5 linked regions of the Nothobranchius furzeri genome follow. The protein of the gene in region 3 purifies or fractionates together with the protein of the main gene of each other region. This does not show direct contact. Links are inferred from orthologs where the notes say so. Each region holds a gene or a part of one and is shown on either strand. Other genes may lie near its edges.

Region 1 (4,214 bases), on a different chromosome or scaffold from region 3:
CCGGAACGTCCGGAGAGATTTACGGGAACTTCCCGACATGCCTGTGTCTCCACTTGACCGGGCCGGCCAATTGGCCATTTTCAGGAACTTTTGGAGTACCTTATCCAGGGTAGCTACTCGTAACAGCCTGGTGGAGTAGCTGAGCTTAACTCACACTGATTGGTCGTAACTCAGTGGGAAATTACATTGGCAGACCTTGTCCAAAACAACCAGGATAGTAAATGTAGGAGAGTTGCTGGTGAAGTCGAATGGAAGCAAAAGAAAATAAGCATGGACTGCCATTGATATTCTGCCCTGGGGCTTACTGACAAAATTTAGGCTGTTAAACAATGGCACCACCAGTCGCCCCGACCACCATCAGCAGGCAAGAAGGGTGTTGCCTAAGGACACCACAACTACGGCAGACTGAGTGGAGCTTTAACCTGCCATCCTCTGTTTATGGGGAGGGCACTTAACTCCTCTGCCACCATCGTCCATAAAGTTTAAGGCACCTTTAACACAGATCAGACAACTCTAGTGGCAAGTGCCCTAAACAGTATCAACTCATTATGAAACATTTTTACTGATCAGGATTAAACCAGTAACTCCGTATCTCAATAGTAATCACATGGCTGGCAATGCTAACTAAACTATCCTAATACTATACTCTAATCCATTACTGGGACAAGCTTTTGAGTACATTATCATAAAATGTTTACTTTTCCCACCAACATTTTGTTCACATCAATGAACTTGTCGATTCATCACCAAGAAGAGATCTAATGAATTCTGTCATAAAAGCACTGACTGTTAATTCACTCCTGCCTGGTCTCACTCCTGTAATCCAAACAGATTAAATCACAACATTATAACAAACCCTTTTAAATTTGTTCCCACATTGATTGATTTGTTGATAGATAGATAGACTGATTGATTTGTTTATTGACTGACTGAATGATTGACTGAATGATTGATTTGTTGATTGACTGAATGATTAATTGACTGAATGATTGATTGATTGATTGACTGATTGATTGATTAACTGAATGATTGATTGACTGAATGATTGATTGATTGACTGATTGATTGATTAACTGAATGATCGATTGACTGAATGATTAATTGACTGAATGATTGATTGATTGACTGATTGATTGATTAACTGAATGATTGATTGACTGAATGATTGATTTGTTGATTGACTGAATGATTAATTGACTGAATGATTGATTGGTTGATTTGTTGATTGATTGTCCATCTATCTATCAACAAATCAGTCAGTCAGACAGACTGACTGACTGATTTGTTGATAGACAGATGATTGATTGATTGATTGATTGATTTGTTGATTGATTGATTGATTGATTGGAAATGTTTATTTGCACATCAGACAACACATTTTAAAAACAATAAACAACGATAGAGAAATATGCGAAGGAAAGGAAAACTACTTGCTTAAACGGTATTAGATCAGTTTGAGATGAAATACCCATAAACCCTGTTTGGATGCTGAGATCCAGTCACTAAGGGTTTCAGCTGGATTACGTACCTTCCTGGGAAACTTTCTTCCAGGGATGAGGAGGGTACATGAAGGCCGCATTCTGGATCTGATCGTTGATATCTTCATCTTCATTGAAAGGGAATGTTCCACTGAGACTGCAAGCAGAGTTTTACAACTGAAATATGCACTGCACCTTTAACCGACATTAGATTGTGTTTGCATGGATTAAAGTCAACACAAACAAACACTCTAATGCACCTAAATAACTATAAACACCAACTGGGTAATGCCTTTGAGACAAAAACCTTCCCTTCACATGATGCCCTACCTGACATAAATGATGACCCCGACAGACCACATGTCCAGAGAGCGGTTGTAACCTTTGTTCCTCAGGACCTCAGGAGCAAGATATGCTGGCGTGCCGACAACTGAGCGCCTGAAGGACTTCTCACCAATTATTCGAGCAAATCCAAAGTCACAAAGCTTCACCTGCAGTTGGACAATGAAGGAGTATTACTAAAGATCTCACCCTAACCATCACCTCTCACCAGAGGCAGGCCTTAATAAAGGAAGTCAATGTTTGAGTTTCACATCTTAAAAAGTAAAAGGTTATTTATATATTTTTTTTTATTATTTTTAACATTGCCAAATTATCTTTACTTGTGATATGTCATATAAGGGACTTTCATTTTATACCAGTTTTCATTTATTACTGCATTTGTTCAACGATTGGCCTAAACGATTTAGCAAAAAAAAAAAAAAAGTCTTTCTGTATGAAACAAAGTGTGAATAAAGTAGTGCAGGTCATGTAGTCGTTCTCGTAACTGTGCCGCTGCACTTAAACATCATTTGGTTCTGAATCTGGAAAGCAGTTAGCCATTTAGTGGCCCAAGTTTTAAAACAAACCAGTAAAGCATTAAGCCTGAATACAGATAATACCTGAGGAAAGGAATCTGCAGAGGCCAGGAGCACATTTTCAGGTTTCAGGTCACAGTGGACAATGTTCTTGAAGTGGAGATGACGCAAAGCCACAAGAATCTAAAGACAGAAACATCCCACTATTACACCAAGAGAAATGTGGTTTTATTTTGTGGACACTAAGCAAAAATGTTTTTGTCTAGTGTTAATTTGGCTGGGTCAGCATTACTAATGTTGGGCAAAAGACTTTCAAAGTCCATCTCAAAATCAGAGGCTCTACAGCTTGCAGGTTTCTTTTGTGAAGTACATAGAACAGCAGCAGAACACTCTATGAAGACAAAAACAGGTGATCTTCATTAGACAACTTCTTTGTTTTGACATGTGAACATTGTTCACCAGGTAACGAGAAGGTTCTTAATGAAAACTCAACATCAAAACACCAACTTTACATCAGAAAATTTGACAAAGATGTTGCAGTTTTACTAATAATCCTTGATATATAACGTGCTTCTGCCACTGACCAGCATGTCAGGCTGTTTCACACCGAGAGTGGTACGAGGCGGTCCGGTTTCCATTTCACTTCCAGACTCACTGCCACTCAATCCGACTGCTGAACATATCCAGATATCTGCTCCCACAAGGGCACCAAAATATTAGAAATTTGACACAAAACCTTTAAAGCTACAATGGCAAATCTACAAAACAAGCTAGCTTAAAACCTCTTTATTTGCCTTTTAATGTTTTAACATATAGCTATGGATATTTTGTGGGGAGTTTAAAAAAAAGAAAAAAATGTAATGAATCCGGTAATCAGTCTCACCAAACTGCTGCACATTTTAATTTACCTGGGTCCTCCACTCATTATGCACTGTGAGAGGTTCTCCACTCAATAACATCTCTAATTCCCTCTGGGATTAATAAAGTATTTTTGAATTTTAATTTAATTGAATCAGAGAAGGAGAAACAGCCGGCTGCTACCACTTCAGCTTTAGGACAAACTAGCAGAGTCCCAAAAAGAAAATCAGCATTTCATGTGACAGACAACAAAAGTTGTTTGGAACAAGAATACAGCACCTGGTGTTTAGTGCTCTCCTTTACTCTGGCGATCCCACATCGGGAGGATGAAAGCCGACAGGAGGGTGAAAGTTCTGTGAAACCGTTTGTGTTTAAAAACTAGCTTGTTTTGTTATTATAGCTTTAAATATGCACCTGTAAAAATGATGTGAACCATCATTCACTGTAAACTGATTTCACCGTCATTAATACTAAAACTAAAGCTGGCCAAAAATGCTTATTAAATTGGGATATACCAGATGCACCTCACTGAAACATGTCTCACAGTCTGGCTCATCTCATTTCTTTACCCTCGTCATAATCTGCATGCAGCGTCCAGGTCCGGATCTGCACCACAGCTGGTGTGAACGCTCTGATTGTACTCAACAATTTCTTAATGATGCAGAAGCCGTACAAAAACTGGACCGGATCCTTTCCACGTTCAGGGTCAACTAGGCTAAGAGTTATTCTCTAAGCTCCACTTCAACACTATTACTGGTCTTGTGGGTCAGTTTCAGTGGTCTGTTGGTGTCCACCCCCCAATCTTCTTCCTGACCATGTCAGAGAATGGAGAATTACACCATCCACCATGTACTCAGCATCCTGAGCATCTTCCAACACACTGTCAGCAGTCTCCAATGGCTGAGGTGTAATAACGTTATCTGCAAGTAGCCTGTACTCAGCTTTACTTCCCCCTGACACATCTGTTATGGATTAGAATTACATTTAATTAATGACCTTAAGACATTAAAGATTCATATAG
Region 2 (4,968 bases), on a different chromosome or scaffold from region 3:
ATGCGTCAAGCATTAACCATGCTTCAGGTTACCAATGCTTGATATCTTGGAGGCGTAGCAGCGGGGGATCTGACTTCAATCCCTCAAGCTCTTTAGGAGTAGCCTAGAAATCTTGACCAACAGTAGCAACAGTAGCAAAACATTTTTGCTACTGTTGCTACTGATTTTGAGCAGACTTAGCACTAGAACTTTGATGGAGACGAACTACAAAGATGGCAGTATACAGAAATGGCACTCTTTAGAAACAGATTTGGAATCAACTTTGGACGACGTAGACTTGGGCTTCTCTTTGAGACATGAGCAGATGGATGCATTTGCTTGTTCTCTGATGGTGTACGGCAGACTGCCCCGTTGACTGATTTCTGCAGCAATGAACACGTGACATTATTCATTGCTCTGATTGGTCCTTGTGCTGTCCAATTGTGTACAGTGACAGTTTGGAAGACAACCATAGATTGTGCAGTACGACTGGATGGTTTCAATGGGTTTTGGCCAGGTTATGGTTTACCAGGCTAGCTTGTTTCATGATCTCAATAATTTCCCCACATGCCCCATCTAAACCAAGGAAAATAATGCAAACCTAAAGCTGTCTTGATGAGAAATATCCTCGTTCTTCCTCCAAAGAATTAAACGACAAAAATGGCTGCATTTCCTTAAACACAAAGCCAACAGTCAGCCATCTGGAACATCTGTAAACATTTGTCTCAGAGTTGCGTGTAATGCACAAGTTGCGCAGAATCCCCCTAAATGGATTTATTTAGAGATGGACTTTTAACCCTCAGAAAGAACATGTGACAAGAACAAAACCCTCCTAGCAAATGGGACCCCCTGACGTGGTATGTAAACAACCAACTCAAATTTCAGCACAGCTTGATGCCAGCCTCACACTCACCTAACAAACCCTATTAAACTCACTAATTAGCCCGTTATCATTCATGCCTAAGGAGCTTTGTGGGGGGAAAAGGACAAAGGGTAGTTGCAAAGGAAATATCCCTTCTCCCCACCTCCTTCCTAACCAAGAACACCTCGTCTGCCTCCCCTCCCCCATTCCTAGCACTAATGTAGCAATTTAAGCATTCCCATTTTTTATCTATAAATATAAAATGATAACTTATGTCAGAATAAAACAGCAGCATAGTATTTTCTTGTGATTTGTTTTCCATAAAAGTTGAATTTTTTTGTTTTATGTGCAAAAGCTGCAAGTGTGTAGGTCCCTATGGACTTTTTGCAGCTCTAGTTGGACAATGTTAGCAGGATTGTGTGTTTTCACGTGTAACTTGTCTGTTATTTGTATGTGAAAAAACCCAGCTGAATCTGTAAACACTGGTTTGAATGCAAACCAGTCATTACAAGAAAAGCCACACCCAGGTCTCTTCTCCCTCCTTTCGCCTCTGAAAAAAAGTCTTGGCGGTTTAACGGCAAGAAAAGCACACAGGTTACAATTAACACGACGGTGGGGGAAAACACATTTCCAACCCATTATGATTAGTTCTTTGATCAAACCACAGGAGTCATATGTAGGTGTGCTTTTCCTGTGACATGCACATGGTGGAACATTCTGATTTGTATAAATGCCCTTTTCTTTCGTTCAGTCAAACAAATTTCATCCCTCCATCATCTTCTGTGGTCATCGAAACCAAAAGCAAGAATGTGTGACTGACAACAGGCCATAAGGGAAGATGTTTAAAGGTATTTAACAGAAATAGGTATAGTTGAGTTTTTCATTCATCTTTTTGGGGGTGAGGAAGCCGTTTAAAATGAAAGTGTGGGGAGTTTCACATTTCCTGAGATGTTTTAGAAATGTTCCATGTTGATAATAAATAAAAACTAAAGACCAAGGTGACCGTGTGATGGTAATGACAGAAATTTGCATCTTGTTCTCAGAATATAAATCCATTCCCTACACCCTTAGGGTGAGCAAAACTATGAAAAACAAACACAGTTTGGCTCAAGTTAGATAATTTGCTGAGTTTCCTCATTCATTTCCAACAAGTGAGTTTCAGTCAAGCTTGTTATTTTGAAAAAAAATCTATATTACTAGCAATGCACTGGTTTTTCTACTATAACTAACATTTGTTTTCAGGTGTGCATGCAAAAAATGATCAGTGCAGTAGTATTTACAGATGGTAAAAAAGGTGCAGTGTGTCAACAACGCCTGAACATTGATCCTTCAATTTATTGCAGGATTGTTCTGATTGCATTATCATAAGGTGGATTTAACCTGTTAAACCTGTTTGCTACAAAACAGAACCACTAAAGAAAATCCTATTAAAGTGAGTTGTTTTATTGGAGAATGTGCAACAGGGGCATCCGGGAAAGGGACGATACAAAAGTCTTATCTGCAGGAGATAACACATTCTTCTGCTGAAACTAGAGTAAAGTTGTCTGGAAGCATGAGGGCATTACACAGAAGGGGCATGGACGGATTTAGGGATGAAACTGCAGTTTAAAAAGAAAAGTTTCTTAATTCCGGGTTTTCCACCTGATTGTTTCACAAAGAGAAAAAACAGATCTACTTACTCGTCCTTGGTCGAGTCCTCCTCGGGTCACTTGCGCTCCACAAACATCGAGTTTTGAAAGACGAAAGAAATAAAAATAAAACACTTTAAAGAAACGAGCGTTTGTCCCAAGGTGGAGGAGGTGGATGGATCACATCAAAGCTCTGCCCCGGGGGGAGTTTTCACGTCCCTGAAACTTTAGCGCGGTGGGTTTCGGCCTCCGTCACCTGAACGGAATCTCGCTTCCGGTAATTTGAGCAGATCGTTACCTGCGCGCAGCGTTCCGCTGAGGGAAGGGTGCGGCAGCCGCGGTGCGGAGCTCCTGATCTGCACAGTGCGCAGCTCTGTCCCACAAGGGAGCTAGGCTGGAGCGCTTCACGTCTGTGGAGCCGCCTCCTGTCGCCCCCTGTCGGCTGATGGGAAGAAGGACCAGCCAATCAGAGCCTCGCTAGGAAAGGATGGCTTCAACCAGAAAAGGCCGATGATCACAGCAGGGAGGTGGATGATCAGAGCCAGGGCAGCCAAGGAGGGATCCCAGTACAAAGGTGGGAAACCATTTCACCCAGAGGCCTAAAGATGCACATGTGTCTACTCAATTTCCCTCTGGGATTAATAAAGTATTTTTGAATTGAATTGAATTGAATTGAATTGAATGTCACCCATTGCTTTTTCATTAATGTGAAAAATCAGAGAAATGTTTGTTAAAATGCTTGTGTCATGGGCTGAGTGGGGGCACTTTGCCTTGCAGTGAGTAGGTTGCAGGTTCCAGCTGCAGCCGTTCTGCATGTTTTTCTGCAGATGATCCAGTTTCCTCCTCCACAGGCCAGTGTCCAGAGTGTCCCTCACATCTGGCCTGGTGAGTGCTGGAGCTGGGCACCAGCCCCTCATGACCCCAGTGAGGAAGAAGTAGTTCAGAAGTAGTGAGTCAGCCATTTGTGTAATCTCATCATGCAACATTTCAAGGCCTTTGTTAGAATAAGAATTCTGACCCTTTTGATATCATTTCCATTCATTTATTTGCATTTTTTCCCCAGTTTAGCTCATTTTTAACTGTTAATTGTTATAAATAAGATAAACCTACCCAGGGATATCCAGAGCTTTTGTTTTTACAACCAGGTGGTTTGGTCTGACCAGTGGGTTCCAACTTTTTACACTGTGACGTCCACCAGCTCCGTTCTCGTGACTTTTACTTTACGCAGAAGGATTTTAAATCTCCTCAGCTACTCAGTATTTATTCATGATCCTTTATGATCCACTGATTACCTCATTCTTATTCTTTTTCTCTTTCCCTTTTCTCCCATTTTAATCACAATTTTTACTTCTCCGTATTTAATATTTTTTAAATATTATTGTTATTTTTATTTTGTTCTTCTGAAATGCCTTGTGATTTTTATCTTGAGGAGGCGCTATATAAAACATCTTCATGAATAACCATGAAGGAGGGGTTTGAGTTCCTGGGTGTCGGGGCTCGGAGGGGCAAACAGCTCTTGCTGATATCATGTAAATAATAGTGGTCCTGGGTGAGAAGATAGAGATTTAATCAAATAAGATAAAAGAGAAGAAGAAAAAATAACAAAGAACAAGGTTATCTTGTATTGATACAAAGTATAAGGCCCTGGAGTCAGGCCTGAAGGAGGGCTTATCAGCAAAGACCTATCAAGCCTTTGAAAATTCATTGGGGGGCGCGGGGGCTGCTGACTTCCTGCAGGAACCATGGAGATCTATTGTGGATCCGGCAAAACCAGAACAAAGATGGTATTCCAGTCCACCTCCACCCTCACTGTTGCCTTTTAATTAAAAGCATTCATGGAAAAGTTGTCAAAAACGACAACAATGACATTTCTTGTTAAAGCGACACGGTGAGTGAAGGCATTCACACATTCAAATCTAAACACGACTTCACAGCTTGGTAGCAGATAAACCTCAGCCTTCAGCAATAAAACCCCGTCTGGATCAGCTATAACTCAAAGGTTGGTGACACGATCTCCAGCCCAGGTCATCGCGTCAATGAGAGGGCGAATTCCAGACACATACTTTTTTTTCTTGCTTGACAGCAACAAGAAGAGCGTGTCTCGTATTAAGCCTACATATCTTGTGTGTAACAGTCCAGTAGCCGGGTTGAGCTGATTACACTAGGAGTTACGGCCTTAACTGTCACAGGACCCATCTGAAGTTACAGAAAAAAGGGGAGTGGAGAACAAGAGCAAAGGTAAAAAATAAAATAAATTCAAGATCATGCTGCAGACAGAGATGTTATGAAAATAAAAACCACAGATATAACCAACACCTTTTCCTGTTTACTAATACGGCTGAGTTTGAATGATCGTAGTGAAAGCAGTGGTAGGCCAGCTGTCAACCACAGCTGCCTCCAGGCTACAACAGTTGTCATTATTATGACTAACACTATTATGACTGATTCATCCTTCGGTGGTTTCATGGTAGAACAGAACAATAACATTAAAATCAGACA
Region 3 (4,214 bases):
TCAGAGTTAAAGTACCAACTCTTCAAAAATTGTTAAATTAACACTTACTGGGGTGGACCCATATAGACACTTTAAAAGTGTTGAAATCAACTCTGACAGAGTTATTTTGAGCATTTTGAATTTTCTGTGTAGGTGGAGATTCTGATTAAGTACCATCTGACTTTTGTCTTTCATTTAGCAGAGATGAACATGTTGGCCCTCTATTTCAGAAAGCCGTCAGCTGTGATCGTCTCGGGGGGTGTCACATCTGTAGCTGATTAATGTGAGAAAGTGAAGCAAAATGCCAAAAACTGTCCTGCTGTTTTATTTGTATGCAGAAAATTTAGATTATTTGTAAAGGGGAGAGCGATGGAAACACGCGGACAGCTCTGTGTTCCAGTCAGATAGTTATTTATTATTCACAGAAGATAAAATGGAAAGTTGAGTGGAAATTAAACCACACACACACACACACACACACACACACACACACACACACACACACACACACACACACACACACACACACACAAGGTGAGGGGTTAAAGCACTTCTCTTGTGGTAAATTTCTCACATGCTGTTAATTATCCTCCACTCTGACGTGAAGCAGACAAACGGCGTGTCATTTATAAATAATCATCCTATCGTTTTCCTTTCCCCCATTCTGCAGAGTCAGCCGAGGGCTTTTGTGAACAAAGACACCCACACAATGCTCGTCTGGACATTTTTCTCTCAGCTTATCAAGAGAAACTTTGAAACATTTCGGTTTTAAAGACCCTGGTATTACACAGAAGGAGCGTACCTCAACGAGCCTGTCCTGAGGCCGAAGTCCAGCAGAATCTGCCGGTGATCCTGGGTCTAGGGATCGGATGTACTGTCCGGGTCGCGACCGATCGCTGTGAAGGTTGAAGCCGTAGCCCGTCTTGGACCGCACCAGGTGGCACAGGCGTGGGACGAGCTCAGATGGGTCAATCTGAGGACGGGACTCCGACGGCTCGTCCTCCTGGGATGGAGACTCCTAGGAGAGAATAAAAAACATGTTCTATTTTGCTTACCCACAATAATTTGACACATAAAAAAAAAAAAACACAAAGCTGAAACATTGGCTGCAGGAATAACATTTATTTAACAGTGGTTGATTCTTCGTGGGTTTATAATTATCCCTGACTTCACGGATGCCAATGCACCACAGGAATTCAGAAACAGAGAAAGTTTAACACCATTCTCAAAAAGCACCGTTCACTTTAAATCAGAGATCTGCAGACGTAGCTTGTCTCATCCAGGTAGAATCTGTATGGTTTCTAATCAAAGCAAAAACAAAACAACCACACTGCAATGAGAAAATCCAGCGTTATGCACAGTAAGTTAGTTTTTATCAGTGTCAGAGCGGTGAAGGAATCATGCAGGACCAGAGTAGGGATGTGTCGTTAGCTAACCTTGCCTCAGCCTGATAGAACGCCTTTAGTATAAATTAGATCATCTGAGCTCATAAATGCACTCCTGGACAAACAGTCATGACTTTGTAAAGGCAGCCGTTCCATTACTTTTGGTAATACTGTGTATGTGAGCTGGAAGGAGTTATTTCCATCTCCACAAACAAACCCAGAACTCGTATGTGCAGGTAAAGAGTCTATAGCGGCACAAGTTCTGCAGAAGCAGGTGGAACAGAACTGAAAGGGACAACAGGGATAAAAGGAAACTCAGATTATCTGGACAAAAATGATACCACAAGACAACCATTATAGAGTGCTTAGCTGACAAGAACCAAGAGGTGGGGTGTGATTACCAAAACAAACCTAAAAGCAATACAAACCAGAGCTGACCTAAGGCTAAAGATGAAGGTTTTTTGTTTTTGCAGCAGAATCGTCAAACATCAGAAAGTTGTTAAGATACTTTTATACTTGGATTCAGTCTTTCCAAAGACCCACAACACAGCTTAAATACTTCTGGCATGAACACCAGTACTTAAAAATATGGAACACTGAAAATACTTTTTTTTAATGATTTCTTCTGATTATAATCTGTCACTCTGAGTTTTTCATGCAGGCTAAACATGAAAATAGTTTCCTACACCTATCTCCTGCTTTAGCTGCTGATAGAAAACAGACTCTAGGGTTTAAAAATCCTGACAGATCTACGTCACTCTGTCACTTAACATTCACGGACTCCTCTTGTCTCGTAACGCTGAAGGCTGTTGTTGGTTTAGCTTCCAGCAAACAGCAGAGAATGTCTCAACTAGTAGAAGCTAACCGTTAGCATTAGCAACTCCACCACAAGGCAGAATTCCTCCATGCTTGTGTTATTTATGGAGATGGAACATCAACGTTGCAGAGCAAACAGAGTCAGTGGTACAGGTGTGTTGCTGTTAGACGAACAGAGGCGAAATGTTCAAGCATCAGATGACTCTGCAGTTGTCGGGTGTAGCAGAGACGGACAGGAAGCTAAGTAATGAGAGCTAGTGGAGCGCTTTGTGGCATGGTGTGGAAACAATCATCTGACCTTGAACGTGAAATTTTAGACTTCAGAAGAAACAGGGTGGAGTCAAACACTGTTTCCATCATGGGAGAAGAAGTGGAGGTGGTTGAGGAATACAAATGCCTTGGAGTTCACTTGGACAACAGACTGGACTGGAGAAAGAACAGCGAAGCCGTTTACAAGAAGGGACACAGCAGACTGCACTTCTTGAGGACGCTTAGGTCCTTCAGTGTCTGTAGCAAGATGCTGCAGACCTTCTACAAGTCTGTTGTTGAGAGTGTAATCTCTTCAGCTGTCGTCTGTTGGGCTAGTAGCATCAGAAGCAGGGACCTGAAAAGACTCAACAGCCTAATAAAAAAGGCTGGTTCTGTTCTGGGGAAGACTGTGGACCCACTGGAGGAGATGATGCAAAGAAGCATTCTCCAGAGAATCAAGAAAATGATGGACAACCCTGAGCATTCTCTTCACAAGACTGTCCGACAACGGAAGAGTGTCTTCAGTCAGAGGCTTCTTCAGTTTCGCTGCAACACTGACTGTTACTGGAGATCCTTCCTGCCAACAGCCATTGTAATATACAACAACTCTTTGATGACTTGATTATTATTATTATTCTGAGCTACTACAGCAATCAATTTCCTTCTGGGATTAATAAAGTATTTTTGAATTGAATTGAATCTGAAGCTACTTTCTCCTTTGGCTGAATTCTCCATGCTGAAACAGGCGCACCGGAGCTATTTTCCCCCAGAGCACGACTTACAAGGCATTCATTCCTAGTAGAGACCACTGCAAATGTATTACAAAAATGACTGAAGGACCCCTTTAAAGCAGAAATACAGTGTTTTTACACAACAGCACCATCTAGAGATGGACAAATGTATTGCACCTTAAGCCTGTCTCACCACTTCTGTAGTTACAGAAGAAAGCAACAAATTTTTGTCATATGGTCGCACAAAGGAACACGAGAAACTATGGAAGTACTAGGACACGCGGGGCTGTAACCCCCAGACTGGAGGAGTGGCTAAAGCAGATCCCAGGAAAAACATCCAACATCTCAGTCCAGAAACCTGCGCAGAACCCTCAAGCTCCAAGGCCTCTGGGAGAGGACCCGAGCTTGGAAGGATGAGACCACCCACGGAGGGTGAGATTGGAAATAATTATATAATATAGATTTACTTTGAGAAAAGTGAGAAAGGTCACTAACTCTGCATCCGTCTAGGTACATCCTCAAACTCTGGCGCACGCTCTGCGATCGACATCTGTCCTTAAAGAGCAACTTGCAGGTTAGACTCCCATGAACCAATGTTTAGAGAAACATAATAGAAACTCGTTTAAAACATTAATTTTTTCACACATTTAATTATTTATTATTTTTTGTGAGAAATGTTTTTTTTTTTTTTTTTTTGCCAAACCAAGCGACGTCAGCTGAGGGAGCCCTGTTAGCTTAATCCAGAGAAAACTATGGACTCTAATGGCGGCTCTGACACAGAGGAAATTTTAAATGTTTATAATTTTACTTCTGATGGACCAAAACCATAAAGTTATGAGTTTACTGCACGCCCCTGTAGCAAAGACCAACCATCGGCCAACGCAGAGAGAATGTGGGGAAGCAGCGGGGGAGCAGCAGGTGAGTTAACGAGGCTAGCTTAAACTCGTGCGCTACCATCACAATTTTTTTACAGATTACGACATGTACCAGACAATTAAAATAGTATTGGTCAGTTAATATAATATTAATACTAATGAGCGTCTGCCAGCTGTCT
Region 4 (4,214 bases), on a different chromosome or scaffold from region 3:
CTGCACAAACCACCTTTTATGAGTATGTGAAGGGTTAACCCCATAACACTCCAGATGAGGCTAATTAATGGTGGTAAGTGAAGGTGCTACCTCCCAGTCCCCTCAGTGGGATCAGTCGGTTGTTTCAAATCTTTTTCTGTTCTGCTCTAATTGTGTTAGCTTGCTCTTCCCCCGCGAGAGATAAAGACGGTCTAATCACAGCACAGAAATAAGGGAATACCCAGCGGTTGTGCAGGAATCAGGGTGAAACCCAAGGCCTGTGATAATACCCAAGTGATTTCCCAAAGCGGATGTGTGTGTGGCGCCGTGTGAGCATGTCATCTCCGCCTCTGTAGAGAACATTGGCACAGGAGCTGACCTCAAATTTCTCATCCCTTGAGTTTTCTGTAGTGGGAGCTGTTTCTGTCCAAGACAATGTTTTGATTACTGCAGGGGTCTGCTTTCCTGATGGACATCTATAAACGAAGCAGTGACACTTCAGAAAATAGTTTGCCATAAAGGTCTCTCACTTTTAGAAGACGCAAATGCTGAAATGTTCGTTCAAACATAAATGGCAGCATGATTAATTCTTGTGTTTTCTGCTTCTCAGGATGAAACTGGTGCCTATCTCATTGACAGAGACCCTACATATTTCGGGCCGGTGCTTAATTACTTGAGGCATGGCAAACTGGTGCTTAACAGGGACTTGGCAGAGGAAGGTAATTATTCTGACCCTCAGTTTCACTCCAGCACAAAAATAAAACAAACTCAACCGAAAACACTTTAGTAAAACTAAAGCCGTGGTCTCGTTGGGCTGCAGCTGCTGATGGTGAACAGCATGTGAAATGTTTTTCTTGCACGAGTCACTAGACTTTGCCGTTTCTCTTTGAACATTTTTGTGAATAAAAATCCAGACATACAAGTATGACTCAGTGGTTTCTGTCATTACCTGCATCTAGACCCATCTGGGCCTTTTTTCTGTGATTTTGAAAGTGGAGTGTTTGTGAGGTAAATTGAGGAACTGGCAACAAATCTGTGGCATTTTGATGTTCAAAACATGATTGTAAACATGCTGGATTGTGGCCAAGAGCTAATTTCCACGTGATGGGAACATACAAGGTTACATTATGACATTAGTTTATCCATGAGACACTTTTAACTGAATTGCAACAAAGAATTGTGTGACAGTCACACGACTTTCACCGCTTGTTTGCAAAATACGTCCGATGTCTTGTGTAAACTGGCAAGTCAGTTTACTGTGTCCAACATAAAACTGACATGATTTATTTATTTGTTCTCTGTCGTTTGGTGAAATACTGGCTTAAAAGAATATATTGTTGCAAATTAAAAACTTTTGAAAAAAGTGTTTTGTATTTTCAGGATTTTGGAAATGAGTACATTTTTAATAAAGCACTTGAAACTTTTAACTGGCATAATACAATACATTAACTTTGCGAGAAGAGGAAGTGCAATAGTTCAGAGCATGTATAAACTAGCCTGGCAAGCCATCCTATATACACTCACTGGCCACTGAATTGGGTACACCTTGCTAGTACCGGACAGGACCCCCTTTTGCCTTCAGAACTGCCTTAATTCTTCATGGTATTGATTCAGCAAGGTACTGGAACTATTCCTCAGAGATTTTGGTCCATATTGACATGAAAGCATCAGACAGTTGCTGCAGACTTGTCGGCTGCACATCTATGATGAAAATCTCCCGTTCCACCACATCTCAAAGGTCATCTATTGGACAGTGATCTCATTGTCATGTTCTAGAAACCAGTTTGAGATGATTCGAGCCTTATGGTAAATGGCCTGAATATGAAATAGCGCCTTCTAGAGTCCTGGAACCTCATAAGGTGCTTAACAACAGTCATTCACACACACATTCACACCCTGGTGGTGATGAGTTACATTGTAGCCACAGCTGCCCTGGGGCGCACTGACAGAGGCGAGTCTGCTGTACACTGGCGCCACCGGTCCCTCCGAACACCACCAGTAGCAACGTGGGTTAAATATCTTGCCTAAGGACACAGCGACAGACTGAGTAGGACTCAAACCTGCAACCTTCCGATTACAGGTGAGCACTTAACTCCTGTGCCACCATCGCCCCTTATGACATGGCACATTATCCTATTGGAAGTAGCCGTCAGAAGATGGGCACACTGTGGACATAAAGGGATGGACATGGTCAGCAAAAATACTCCGGTAGGCTGTGGTGTTGCAACGATGATTAATCGGTACTAAGGGGCCCAAAGTGTGCCGAGAAAATGTCCCCCACACCATTACACCACCACCATCCTGAACTGTTGATACAAGGCAGGATGGATCCATGCTTTCATGTTGTTGATGCCAAATTCTGACCATACCATCTGAATGCAGCAGCAGATATCGACTCATCAGACCAGGCAACGTGTTGGTGAGTCTGCATGAATTGTAGCGTCAGTTTCCTGTTCTTAGCTGACAGGAGCAGCACCAGGTGTGGTGTTCTGCTGCTGTAGCCCATCTGCCTCAAGATTTGATGTGTTGTGCATTCAGAGATGCTCTTCTGTATACCTTGGGCGTAACGAGTGGTTATCTGCGTTACTGTTGCTTTTCTATCAGTCTGGCCATTCTTCTCTGACCTCTGGCATCAACGAGGCATTTTCGCCCACAGAACTGCAGCTCACTGCGTGTTTTCTCTTTTTCGGACCATTCTCTGTAAAACCTAGAGATGGTTGTGTGTGACGATCCCAGAAGATCAGCAGTTTCTGAAATACTCCGACCAGCCTGTCTGGCACCAATAATTGTGGCCAGAGAGTGTATGTGAATAGTCTTGCCACGACCCATGGACAGCTCTCAGTTGTAGGGCGGGATCTACGGTTGTCTTTCAAATGGTCTCTACATGCTATCAGACAACAAGTAACGAGACGTACTCACTGCTACGGATGTCAGTCAACGGGGCAGTCCACCATACGCTCAAAGAAAACACAAATGCATCCTTTTTTCTAATAAAGGATTTAAGTATCTATCTGCTCTTTACTCGAAGAGAAACCAAATTCTAAATGGTCCAAAGTTGATGCCAAAGCTATTTCAAACAAGCAGTCACCATCTTAGGTTTGCTCAGTAGCAGTCGTTCACCACACCGATAAAGAACTGTGGCTGACCCACCAGACGGATAGAGCACTGTGGCTGGCATGCCTCCAGACTGGCCAGGGCCACAGAGAGTCCAATGGAGTGAGGCTAGACTGCCATGCAAAGCAAAATCATTTTTCTTCTGCTGCAGACGGTTTAGATTTCTAGGCCATATATGTACAGTTCAGTTTGTCTTGAGTGTAAATTGTCACCAATTAAAGGATCTGGAAAGTCTTGAATTCACCTTTTGGTTTAGGAAAAGTTATAAGGACAACTTTTAAATGTAACATTACCACTTAGATACTTTTGGATCATTTCATAGCCGTGGTTCTGTTTTTTTTTACATGGGAATGAGATGTTTGTTGCTCCTGTTAGGTGTGCTGGAAGAAGCAGAGTTCTATAACATCACATCATTAATAAAGCTCATCAAGGATAAGATCAGGGAGCGTGACTGCAAAACATCCCAGGTATGTTCCAGTTTCTGCAGACACACCAGTTTTCCAAAGATCTAAGTGTCACAATTCCTATATTCATACAAAATAGGTTTAAAATCGTCCCATCTTCATCTCATTTGGTTTGTGTCAGGTTCCAGTGAAGCATGTGTATCGGGTGCTGCAGTGCCAGGAGGAGGAGTTGACACAGATGGTGTCCACCATGTCTGATGGCTGGAAGTTCGAGCAGGTAAATCTCCTCCCAGCAGGGTTGCATCAGCAGTCGTCCTGTCGTGCTTCACCCACCCTGCTGTGCTCAAGTTGACCCACAAAGTTCCAATCCTTCATATTAGAAATGAATTTGAACAAAACAAACAGCAACTCGGGATCTTTCTCAAATGTCTGCATACATGATCCGGGCATGCCTTCTGTGCTCTGATTGGTTGTTGCAGCTTGTCAGTATAGGTTACGGGCGGGCCCACCAGTCAGAGTTTCTGCTGATTGTGTCAAGGGAGGTGAAGGGAGAGGAGTCTGCTTTGCCAAACAACAGCGGAGAGGTGTGTCCCACAAATTTTTGTCCACGGGCTGGTCACTTGCATGGTCCCCATATTGTCCATACACACACCCTTTTGGCCGTTGTTTGTCCCAAGTAGACACACACAGCTATTTTGTTTTGTTTGTTTACTTTCT
Region 5 (4,993 bases), on a different chromosome or scaffold from region 3:
TGACTTACAAATCCTTGAACCATCAAGCTCCTCCGTATCTGTGTGAACTTGTCCATTACTACAATCCGCCTCGTGCTCTCAGGTCCGAAGATAAGCTCCTCCTAGCTGTTCCGAATGCACGTTTAAAAAGCCGTGGAGAAAGGGCTTTCTCTGTGCACCGAAGCTGTGGAACGCATTACCACTGCTAGTGAGGCAAGCACCAACAGCTAGCATTTTAAAATCACGCTTGAAAACTCAGTACTTCAACCTAGCGTATACCACATAATTATGAACCTCAGTCACAACTGCATTGTTTAAAATGGAAATCACAATATCAACTTCCACATTATTCTGGTTCTTTTTTTAAATGTTTTTCTAATTTTTTATTCTCCCTGTGTTTTACTGATTTTTAACTGTTAGTTTTAGAAATTTTGTTGTTTTTCCTTTTTATCTTTTATCTCTGTTCTACATGACTGTATAACGCCGGTTTAATTAACTAACATTTTTAGTGTACAGTGCCTTGTTTGGTTGTAATGCCTTGTGAATGCGCTTTATAAATAAAATTGGTATTGGTATTGGTATGAACACAGTTGATTTGTTTGATTCAGTGATGAAATGCTCCTGTAGGCACTAATGATGGCTGAGGAGACATTTCAACAGTTAGATTAAGGTGTTAAAAAACGAACAAACAGCGAGGAGATGAGTTTTACTTTTGTTTTTACTAAAAGACACTAGAGGGTGCTAAAAGCAAACCAAAGTGCTTAGTATCCCTTTAGGGTCACATCTCAACAGCAGATGCATGTTGTTCCTATTGGTGGTCACTAATCTGAGCAGACCTTCATGACATGTGGGGTCCCACAAGGTTCGGTTCTTGGACCACTGTTCTTCAATCTCTACATGCTTCATTCTCTTCATGATACATAACGATCATATGCCTTTTTTAAATTATTGCAATAAACTTTAAATGGCTTTTACTGTATGTGTATTCTGTCTTTGGAGGATTCTTCTTTTCATTAGCTTAAATTGAATCCAAAGCTTGCTACAAACAGCAAAAGCCAGCTTTTAGGAATATGAGATTTAAATCCACCTGACTGAGCTCACTGTCAGACATCTGGAATGTAAAACCACTGGCACTTTAGATGGTACCACAGAGCTGGGAGGCTTTTCTGAAAAAGTTCATTATTTTAAGAAAATTGAGTTGAACACACTGTGACTGCAGCTAAATCTAAGCTTTTGTCCTCGTTTGGATTATATTTCCACGCTGGGTTTTCAAGCTTTGTGGTCATGGATCAGTGACCCAGACAATCATTTCTGAATGTCTCGTGGATCTGAGAGGAGCACCTGAACCTTCAGTGTGTCTCAGTCAGGTAGGAGAACGAGGCGGCGCCGTGTTCTTCCTGTTAACCTCAGCTCATTTTTGTTTCAAATTACATAAACAATGTGAAAGTCTGTGTGAAACTCTTGTGCTTTGCTTCTGTTAGATGTTAATGTGCATCACTGTGCTCCTAACAGCTGCGTCTCTAATGGAAGTGCTCAGCTTCCTGTGGAATCTTTGCTGTAGTTGAAACATGCTGCATGATATCTCATGTTTCACTCCCACTATAGCTGTGCAACTGAGATACAAAGCCTCATTTTGATGCTGCATGATTTATTTCTCTGTTTTGTTTACTTTTCTATTAAATGCATGACTTCACATTAAGCTGTGAGCTGACAAAGAGTTCCAAGTTCAACGTAACGGTGAGCAGAGTAAATCCAGTGAATATCCTGCTGCAGATCTGCAGCTGCTTAGATGCTTGTGCAATGGCGTAAATGATGTTGGTTTCATCTTTAGCTTTTTGTCTCTACAAAAGCGCAGGACATTCACCTGATGAGGTCTCCGTGCAGCTGAACGTAGAGGCCCTGTCTGTCCCTCTGGGCACACAGCTCCTCCACGGTGGTCTTGGTGGAGCAGAGCACAAGCTGCAGGTCTGTCTGAGGGGTGCAGGAGGTCTGTGGGCCAGAGGCGGGTGGTTGGGGGTCCACCGTTCCACCATACAGGCACACGCAGCCCCGCTGTGTGTCCCCCTTCAGCCAGTCCCGCTCCCGTGATCCAAATCTAGTCTTTCTTGTCACACAGCTTCGACTCCCGTTTCTCTTCATGTTGCGCTGCTGGTAGAAAAGAGTGTAAGAGCCTAAACAATGTGAGGATTTGTATGACTAATAAGTTATAACTAGATGTGAATGTCTTTATGCCTAAGGAGCAGTTGTGGGCCATGGGGTGGCCATGTACCCCCCTCCGAGGCGCCACTGCAAATGAAAAAATTCTAGATTTGTTCAAATGTCCTAAAAACATGAAGTGTGGTAAACACTGATTAACAAACTTTCAAAAATTATGTTTTGAAAGCCGATAAGCTGTCAGAATGTTTATTCATAGAGCCAAAACCTTATAAACTTCATGTTTACATTTTTAGAATGTCCTAAAATGACAATAGATAATAATAGTAATATAGAATTGTCCCTCAGCTGTTCACAAACACTGTTTTATTCTAACAAGTTCTCTGAGACTCATTTATCTGCTTGGATGAAGTAAAGGATGGAATAAATGAAAGAGCATGCCGTCATCATGTCAGACAACTGTAGGCCTCCGTGTGTGTGTGTGTGTGTGTGTGTGTGTGTGTGTGTGTGTGTGTGTGTGTGTGTGTGTGTGTGTGTGTGTGTGTGTGTGTGTGTTATGTAATGTTGCTCATAATAAGAGATGATTGTCATTCAGTAAGCAGGGTACCAGAGCCAGTTAACACACGCAGGTGCGCTCTCGCTCTCGCTCACGCACACACACACACACACACACACACACACACACACACACAACACACACACACACACACACACACACACACACACACACACACAGGATACGTTAGAAATCCTTTGCCCGTTTCTCTCTGATACAAACACAAATGTTTGACCGGCTGCAGTGACCGGACCTGAAACCCTCTCCCATTACCAGAAACCTGCCTTCAGGACTCGGATCCCCGTTGCAGAGTGAGCTCCGGGACCACTGCGGCTGCCGCGACCCGCAGTCAGGTTCGGCCCCGCCTGGTGGACCACCGTGTCCGGCTGCCTGTCGATGCAGGCGCCGTTATCTCCAACATCCCCTCCTTCTTTCTTGATGCCAGCTTGGATTTTAGCCGCAGAGACCGCTGCGTTGTTCTCCTCCTCCTCCATCGCCATGAAGGATCCCATTAACAGCGCCAAAAGGCGAGCGCCTCCCCAGTGCCGCCGCTAATTCCCGCGGAGCGACGGAATTTCATCCCGTTCGAGCGCCGCGCTGCCATATCCCGACTGATCTGCGCGCTGTCACACGGGCCTGCAGCTGCCGGAGAGCGGATCAGTAAACATCAGGGGGGCGGGTACTGCTCCAGCCAGTGGTTGTGTCAGAGGGTGGAGGCTTCCGGTAAATAATAAATAATAATGAGCCAACTTTTACTACTCTCCTCCTCATTGCAAATAAAATCAGAGACGGACCTAGAGTTGGGGTGGGGGCAAAAGTGTGGCACGACCGGAAGTTTATTGTTGCAAGAAAAGTTTTTTAAAATTTTTTTTTTACTTTTTTAGGGCCCCTGGACAGGGGCGGTTGTAGGCCACATTTTCCAGGGGGGCCAGTATTTTTTCATGGGGGCGCAAGAAAAAAAGGGAAAAATTAGTGCAATATGAAAATTCTTTTTTGTCGTCGCCATTTTGTGCTTGTGCACAATTTTGCCAAAGGAAATTCATTGATGTCAGGAAAATAAACTGTATTGCTTGCCTTCGTTTCTCAGCGTCTTTTCCGTTAAGTCGTCCTCAAGAATTTCTTTGGGTCCCATTTAAACTATTTTTAATCTTTTATTCAAAAATCCACCAGGTAAACAGTTCTGTCCACAGAGTGTGCTGCGCTCTAAAGGCTCCGTTTGAAACGCTGCAGCACATTAGTTCCCGTCTCCGAGGCAGCGCAGGGGACAAAAATCCGATCTCTTCAGCACAGGGGCCATAACAGGGGCCAGGGCCGGTTCTATAGGAGCCCAGGCCCCTGTTTAAAACCGCCAATGGGGCGCCAGATTTTTTACTGCGGAGTCTGGAGTCATGACCAGCGCTGACATAGAAGATATTTCAAATCAAACTGAGTGTAGCTTTTTCCCTTTGGGACCCATCGGGGCGGCTTGATGAGGGGCAATAGCTTCCAACTAGAAAACAAGAAAGCCTATAATACTATTATACTAAGTATTAGCACTCTTCATAAACATTTATTTATTAAGCTACAGCTGGTGTTTTTGTGATGGTGGCACAAGAATTAAGCGCGTGCCTCATAATCAGGTTGCAGGCTGGGGCACGTGCTACCCCTGGCGACTCCCTGATCAGAACAGTTCTGTAACTTTCTTTTGCCTCTTTGCTTTTTGTGAGCTAAAATCACTTCTCAGCTCCAACGGTTTAAAATGAGCCCCATTTCAAACTTCAGACACAATTTAAACCCAAACAACAGACTTCCATAGTTCAGCTTTGTTTTTATTTCACGTTTTATTCGCTTGATCATTTTCTCCAACCCAAAGACAAGAATACACAGCATGAAATTGAAAATATTCCATTTAATAGTTTACAACTTTTCATCTTTACGAATCATTTCATATTTTCAGTCCTGCATTCACACTCCTTCAAGCCACAGAACTGGGAAGCAGTTCGATGTGTCCAGCTGATGAGGAAAAAAGTCTAACTCGTGCCTTTCATCACTCCACAAAAAGAAGAAAAAAAACTAAAACAGAAAAATAAAGATCAAAACCAAAAAGAAGGCTCCAGACATCGTTTTATTTTCAGTCAGGACAGGCCTCGGAGGAGGGAAGGAGATCCAGATTATGTTACAGTAGATGCATTTTTTAATTGAACAGGTAAAATAATCATGGTGGTTATTTAGTTGCTCTTCCAAGCCCTTTACTCAGCAATTTCATGGGAAAAAAAAGTCCAAGTAATCCACACTATGGATTTGAACTTGCTCTAAACAATAAAA

The links.
Region 1: the proteins of Na(+)/H(+) exchange regulatory cofactor NHE-RF2 (region 3) and prkd1 purify together in Homo sapiens (affinity purification with mass spectrometry; 3 studies listed by BioGRID and IntAct, with this or other methods). This does not show direct contact. The link is inferred for Nothobranchius furzeri from reciprocal best matches to the Homo sapiens genes NHERF2 and PRKD1.
Region 2: the proteins of Na(+)/H(+) exchange regulatory cofactor NHE-RF2 (region 3) and lysophosphatidic acid receptor 2 purify together in Homo sapiens (affinity purification with western blotting; 3 studies listed by BioGRID and IntAct, with this or other methods). This does not show direct contact. The link is inferred for Nothobranchius furzeri from reciprocal best matches to the Homo sapiens genes NHERF2 and LPAR2.
Region 4: the proteins of Na(+)/H(+) exchange regulatory cofactor NHE-RF2 (region 3) and kctd5b purify together in Homo sapiens (affinity purification with mass spectrometry; 3 studies listed by BioGRID and IntAct, with this or other methods). This does not show direct contact. The link is inferred for Nothobranchius furzeri from reciprocal best matches to the Homo sapiens genes NHERF2 and KCTD5.
Region 5: the proteins of Na(+)/H(+) exchange regulatory cofactor NHE-RF2 (region 3) and phlpp2 purify together in Homo sapiens (affinity purification with mass spectrometry; 3 studies listed by BioGRID and IntAct, with this or other methods). This does not show direct contact. The link is inferred for Nothobranchius furzeri from reciprocal best matches to the Homo sapiens genes NHERF2 and PHLPP2.

What each region holds. Positions count from the first base shown.
Region 1 is NC_091758.1:8,117,143-8,121,356, reverse strand, and holds part of prkd1 (serine/threonine-protein kinase D1), read right to left. Parts: intron 2,519-4,214; coding exon 2,420-2,518; intron 1,970-2,419; coding exon 1,809-1,969; intron 1,636-1,808; coding exon 1,529-1,635; intron 1-1,528.
Region 2 is NC_091744.1:9,323,541-9,328,508, forward strand, and holds the start of lysophosphatidic acid receptor 2, read right to left. Parts: upstream 3,154-4,968; 5' UTR 2,521-3,153; intron 1-2,520. UniProt on the Homo sapiens protein: Receptor for lysophosphatidic acid (LPA), a mediator of diverse cellular activities. Seems to be coupled to the G(i)/G(o), G(12)/G(13), and G(q) families of heteromeric G proteins. Plays a key role in phospholipase C-beta (PLC-beta) signaling pathway.
Region 3 is NC_091752.1:53,720,615-53,724,828, forward strand, and holds part of Na(+)/H(+) exchange regulatory cofactor NHE-RF2, read right to left. Parts: intron 998-4,214; coding exon 782-997; intron 1-781.
Region 4 is NC_091756.1:32,816,451-32,820,664, forward strand, and holds part of kctd5b (BTB/POZ domain-containing protein KCTD5), read left to right. Parts: intron 1-589; coding exon 590-698; intron 699-3,468; coding exon 3,469-3,560; intron 3,561-3,678; coding exon 3,679-3,774; intron 3,775-3,976; coding exon 3,977-4,081; intron 4,082-4,214. UniProt on the Homo sapiens protein: Its interaction with CUL3 suggests that it may act as a substrate adapter in some E3 ligase complex. Does not affect the function of Kv channel Kv2.1/KCNB1, Kv1.2/KCNA2, Kv4.2/KCND2 and Kv3.4/KCNC4.
Region 5 is NC_091749.1:59,352,287-59,357,279, forward strand, and holds the start of phlpp2 (PH domain leucine-rich repeat-containing protein phosphatase 2), read right to left. Parts: upstream 3,347-4,993; 5' UTR 3,202-3,346; coding exon 2,974-3,201; intron 2,128-2,973; coding exon 1,844-2,127; intron 1-1,843. UniProt on the Homo sapiens protein: Protein phosphatase involved in regulation of Akt and PKC signaling.